2 linked regions of the Callithrix jacchus genome follow. The protein of the gene in region 2 interacts with the protein of the main gene of each other region in a pairwise test. Links are inferred from orthologs where the notes say so. Each region holds a gene or a part of one and is shown on either strand. Other genes may lie near its edges. The genes, in order: SPA17 and AKAP7.

What was found.
Region 1: the proteins of AKAP7 (region 2) and SPA17 interact in a two-hybrid assay, tested with the Homo sapiens proteins (3 studies listed by BioGRID and IntAct). The two-hybrid records come from large-scale screens. The link is inferred for Callithrix jacchus from reciprocal best matches to the Homo sapiens genes AKAP7 and SPA17.

Annotation. Positions count from the first base shown.
Region 1 is NC_133511.1:24,277,217-24,279,956, reverse strand, and holds part of SPA17 (sperm surface protein Sp17), read right to left. Parts: intron 2,165-2,740; coding exon 2,078-2,164; intron 1,767-2,077; coding exon 1,680-1,766; intron 1,357-1,679; coding exon 1,270-1,356; intron 1-1,269. UniProt on the Homo sapiens protein: Sperm surface zona pellucida binding protein. Helps to bind spermatozoa to the zona pellucida with high affinity. Might function in binding zona pellucida and carbohydrates.
Region 2 is NC_133505.1:137,944,801-137,948,269, reverse strand, and holds the end of AKAP7 (A-kinase anchoring protein 7), read right to left. Parts: intron 2,766-3,469; coding exon of another isoform or gene 2,569-2,765; exon of another isoform or gene 1,912-2,568; coding exon 1,706-1,911; 3' UTR 762-1,705; downstream 1-761. UniProt on the Homo sapiens protein: Probably targets cAMP-dependent protein kinase (PKA) to the cellular membrane or cytoskeletal structures.

The sequences.
Region 1 (2,740 bases), on a different chromosome or scaffold from region 2:
TACTTTTTCCATGTAACAATATATCTTGGTTCTCTTTTTCTGTGTTATTAGTCAGTGTATAACTCTGCCCATTCTTCTTTTTTATGACATCATTGTATTATATTATACTGATGTACTTTTATTTAATATTTACTCAATCTCATATTAATGGGCCTTTGGGTTGCTCAAGCTCCCAGCCCCCCATTATAAATAGTAAGACAAATCTAGCTCAAACTTTTAAATGCAAACAGAATGGTACTAAATTCTTTGAGATGACATCCTAATACAGGCAAATGAAAACAGTCCAGTTGGAAATCAATGAGATCCCTATTCAAACTCATGAAAACCTGTGTAAGAGCAGCTATGAAAGATGTAAGGAAATAAAACTCCCTTCTTCCTTGACGTCCTGTTACATCTTAGTGTTAGGCTTATTGGGTTGTATTGATATAATTCTGGAATAACCTGTACATCTTATAGGGAAAAGTCACACATTACTAGGTAGGAGGTAGGGTATTCCTTGAGGAGATATCCATTCTGGGTGCCAGTTACTGGGCAACTACCTGGGACCTGAGACATAAAAAAGAACTCAGAAGTTTGAACTTCGACATTGTAGAGTGAGTTCTTCTTTCTTATGAGGCCTAGTCCACAAGAGTCTGGACTATGAAGAATATAAACAATCATGTACTGGTAAGTGTTTTAACAACTGGCTCTCCAGAAAAAAACAAAGCCCAGATTTGCAGTGTTTGCCATGGTCTTAAAATTCTCATTGTGGATGATTCAAGTTATTAAAGTGACATTACTGAACATGAGCCTGGGTAGAAATGTGCACAATTGTCTCTTGAGAGCTGGCTCTAGCACACCACTGAATATAGGTATCTTTGAGGGTGGACCTCTCTATGTCTTGACTGCTTGGATGTAGTACATCAGGCACAGAGGCATTTTTGTAGGGGGTTATGCGTCGAAGATGAATAAGCCATATTGCTGTGAAGCCATTATTTTGGCTTTATGTAATTCCCTGTGATTTTTCTTTTGTTATCTCTGAATGTTTGCTATTGTGTAGTGGTGACAGCATCAGTTAGTGAAAAATTCCCAAAGTGGAAGATGAATCTGAAGGATCACAACTGGGGCTGTGAGTTCTGTCTGCCCTTCCCCAGAGGGAGATTTTCCATCCATTAACACTCTTGAAAAATAAGATTTTATTTTTAAGGGAAAAATGAGTTTTTGATCATAAGAGGCATGGCTGAAAATGATCTACCAGTTATTTTATCTGTACATTAAAATATTACATACTAAGATGGTGACTGGTGTTTCTTCCTCCTTCCCAGATATCTGAGACTTTTCTTGTTTAGGATCACATTTCTCAGGTGGTTCTTGCTTCTGGACAGATAGGAGAGAGCGAAATTAGCCATGTTTCCAAACTAGCAAAGTCTTGTTTAGAAGTAATTAAAAATTACTTTAAATTACTGAGAAATAGAGGGAATTAAATACTACATATTTAGTATTTAATTTAATCAAGATATTATCTTGATGTTAATCTTTATCTGGAATTTATCTTGATGTTAATTATCTGGAAGGTAAAAATCATAATTTTGACAATAAAGATAACAGACATTCACTGGAGTTCAATTTTAAATTCGGCAATATCATTCTTTGTACATGAAAATATCATTCTTCAATAGTACATTAAAAATATTACATACTAAGATGGTGACTGGTGTTTCTTCCTCCGTCCCAGATATCTGAGACTTTTCTTGTTTAGGATCACATTTCTCAGGTGGTTCTTGCTTCTGGACAGATAGGAGAGAGCGAAATTAGCAATGTTTCCAAACTAGCAAAGTCTTGTATAAAACTGTTTAGAAGTAATTAAAAATTACTTTAAATTACTGAGAAATAGAGGGAATTAAATACTACATATTTAGTATTTAATTTAATCAAGATATTATCTTGATGTTAATCTTTATCTGGAATTTATCTTGATGTTAATTATCTGGAAGGTAAAAATCATAATTTTGACGATAAAGATAACAGACATTCATTGGAGTTCAATTTTAAATTTGGCAATATCATTCTTCAATAGTACATTAAAAATATTACATACTAAGATGGTGACTGGTGTTTCTTCCTCCTTCGCAGATATCTGAGACTTTTCTTGCTTAGGATCACATTTCTCAGGTGGTTCTTGCTTCTGGACAGATAGGAGAGAGCGAAATTAGCAATGTTTCCAAACTAGCAAAGTCTTGTATAAAACTGTTTAGAAGTAATTAAAATTACTTTAAATTACTGAGAATTAGAGGGAATTAAATACTACATATTTATCTTTAATAAGGAAAATACATTAAAACAAGAATAAATAATTAAAGCTCTTAAGGGAATATGTGTAAACAAATATTAAAGACCAAATAATTGGCAAAACATTTGATCTGTTGCTTTTGGAATGTGTGTACCACTGTTTTATGTTCAAAGTAAACCACTGTCCTATACTAAAAGTTGATAAGATGCTATAATGAATCCTGAACAAAGTATAAAAGAGAGATTCCAATAGTTTCTAAAATAGGAATAAAATAAATGGCATTGTCTTCTATAGTGTGGCGTCAAGTTGAATTTTGAGTGAGGTTTATGAATTAAAACTAGTAAAAGAAGCAAGTTTTGCTGTGGCGTTTTGCTTTATGATTTAAATATAAAAGGAGAAACCACCTCTGCCTATTTTGAAATGGTTAAGTCTTCCTCCCCAAACTAAAGGCATTGCCAATTCACACCTATT
Region 2 (3,469 bases):
CTGGGACTTAGTTTTTAACAGAAATCATGATCTTAAACTAAAGTAACAATAAGACATGTAACCCCAGACTCAAAAAGTATACTATTTTAGCCTTTCAAATTATCTAGTTGGATTGGGAATCGCTCCCAGAGGATATTTGTAGATACATGCTGAAAAGTGCTCTCTGCAGAAACACCATTAACTTACACTATGGGGTGGTGAGGATAACACCGGGGCATTGGCACAGAGTCCTGGGTGACAGTTCAGGTCCAGTTCTCCAGCAGCAGTGAGGCCTTGGATAAGGTGTGCCACCTCTTGGAGTCTGTTCCCTTCTTTGAAACACAAGGCAAGGCCAAAACTATCTTTGCTTTCCACCTTAAGGATTTACTTAAAGAACCCATCTACAAACAGTCAAGCCCTCTACCACTGAAAGGGGTTTCACAGCAAACAGCTGCAGGATTCTGCACCTGGATGGATCTCCACTTTTCATCTTTGCTAGGATGTCACATCACTGGCACATTCTTAGCTGTTTAATTCTCGGTGAAGCTGAGAATTTAGATTTTCTTTGAATTTAAGGTTCTGCTGTTAATTCTCGGTGAAGCTGACTGATTTGATACGATTTTAAAGCATGAAGTTGATGGTGCTTTGACCACTGTGCGACCTCAGCATGAAGGACAGGAACAGAAAGGTGAAGCAACACCGAAGCTGTCAGAGCTCCTGTTGATAACTTCCTTATGCCAACATAGATCCAGCTACTCCCAACAGTGAAGAGATGAGAAAAGGCAAGGGAAAACAGTATGTTTATTAAGAGCCAGGAAAATGCATAAACTCATTTGTAAATAAATGTAGTATAATTTACTCAGTGAAAAAATAGCTAAAATCCATGAGTAAATTGGATTTTATATTTGAAATGATTTTACACATTTGATCTCCAGTGATTTCCCTCTATCATGATCTATTGGTAGCAGCCATTTTACAATGACTATAGAAAAAGCTGTTACCAACAATCACCATAGCAGGGAAAGGTTTTCCAGAATGCTCTTTAAAACCGAACCAGTGCAAACACATTCAGATTACAAGGGATCTGATAAGTCCTGGAGCTTATCTTCGAAAATGTAAAAAATAAAAATCCCAAACATGAATTCCTTAAGAAATGAAAAAGCAAACTACATTTTGATCAGTGAAAAATATTATAAGGATATATAAAACATTCTTAACCAGTGATCGCAATAATTACATTTATAAATGTTCGTTCAAGTACTATTGTTCAATAAACATTCAAATTCTCATTAAAAGTAACACTAGATATAGACACACCTGGACAATGCTTCTTTTGATTTAGCAACAATCATGTCAACAGGAGGCAAGTGACCCTTCAAATACTGTTGTTGGCTCTGTTTTGTTCTATTTGTCTGTGAATGGTTTCTTCACAGTCTGTATTTTCTTCTGCAAGGACCCAAGAAATATCTCACAACGGCTAATTAAGAAATCATTTTTATAAAATAACTCTCAATATCACAGAAACAGACATTCTAAAACACAAGTTTAGCTCAAAAAATAACAGGGCAGAATGAGTTTTCTTTGGCAAGAAATTGCTAATTCCTTACCAAATGTTGGTTTGCTGTTGTGCAGACACTATCAGAAACTTCTTTGGTGTATACCAAAGAGCTACTTGGTAAGCTGGAAAGATTTCAGGGGCTATGTTGCCACAATTGCAATGTAGAGCTTATGTCAAAGTTGTGCCAAAAATAACATCATTTGCTGGATTACTGTTATTAATAAGTCTTCCTTCAAAAAGCTCCCTCCTAATTTTGGCCTGAATCTCAGGCTTTAATAAAAGTTCCTTTATCTGTTTCACTTTGGACTTCAGACCCATCATTTCTCGATGCAAAGCTTCATTAATTAATTCTTGAATTCCAATAGGTTTCTTGCCTAAGAAAAAAAATTATATAATACATTTCATTAAATATGGCATACTGACTTATCAAAATAGGATTTTAAAAAAACTTTAAAATGTTGCCCACATTTTATAGAAAAGGTTGCATTTCACCAAAATATATCATTTACATGAAACATAATTTACTATAAATAAAGATCACTGCATAGCAACAGCACACTTAGGACAGACATGAAACATTATGGACTAATTGTACAGATGACAATTTCAACAGTGATTATTTTAAACTTAGCACTTGATAGCTGTGTGTGAGAGTTCTGGCCTCAGATAAAGTAGTCAAATGCCCTGCTAAGCAATATAAATGGCAGTATTCCATTGATGGCAAGGCCTCTTTCGCGGCCTGTAATTTGTGTCCAGGAGGCATAACCCAAAGTTCTCTCTCCCTTGTGCATGGCTGAGGGCGAGTGAAACTTGGGCCATTCTTCTTTCATAAATTAATTTCCTTTGCCAGTCCCAGCACTCCATTTTTCTTGTTGTGTTTCAGAAACGCCATCACATCGATCATGAAAGTATTAGGCAATCTCCACAGACTGAACCAGAGAAACTTAAACAGCACGCTGCAAGTCAGTCCCTAGACTCAGCAGAGGGGAGCAGGGATGCTTTACACAGACTTGAGGACCTGTGTTCAGGCCTCATTTCCTGTTGTTCTCATTGTCATTGCCATTCCGATCAGCTGCTTCAGTTTTCACAGAGCTCCCCTCCCCCGGCTTGTTTTTATTCTGTGTCTCCTCCAGATACTGCTGGACAGCCTTGAGCACCGCGTTCTCCACCAGCCTCTTACTGAGCCTTACCAGTTCAGCATCATCAGGCTCCCCTCCGTTCTTTTCACCTACATTCCACAATAGAGAAGAGAGGTCACTGAGATCACATTGCCATAGAAACTTGGCATGCAGGGGCCGGCTAGTTCCATTAGTTAAAAAGAGCAAGTGTAAATTGGATCTATAAATTCAAGAACAGTGGGTTGGCTTTTCATTTGGTATTTGCGGAAGTAGGAGCCTGTCTATTCCTGACGCCTTCAGATTGAAAAGTAGTTCATTAGTCCCAATCTAGACAAGCTCTACCTAGCAGCGCTGGCTGTTTCCCATTTATATGTGAATTTCGGTTCTTGTCTCATCCAAGGCTAATTACTACTACTAATGTCCACGTCCCCACCACGTGGAGCCTCAGACATGTGAATTCACTAAGTATATCTATGACCTCTTCTGATTCTCCAATATCAAATATCAGATCGAGATTTCCCTACGATCTCATTACTTAAGATCACTAATTTAAAAATGCGTGGCCTATAGCTTGGTTGTTAATCAATGCTCAGCAATGCCATGAAGAGAAAGGCAGTTACTACCATTAGGAACTGGTTTAAAATAAGCTTATAAGGCTAGTATTTTTTTGATGTCAGTGCTATCACTGCTATTGAAGAAATAGGAAATTCTTCAAAGAAAAATTATGATTATGATGGTAAATTACTAGATGTAAATGTTTTGTGGTTATTTTACTTTGCTGATCATGATGATCCAAGTCTAATTATTTCATCTT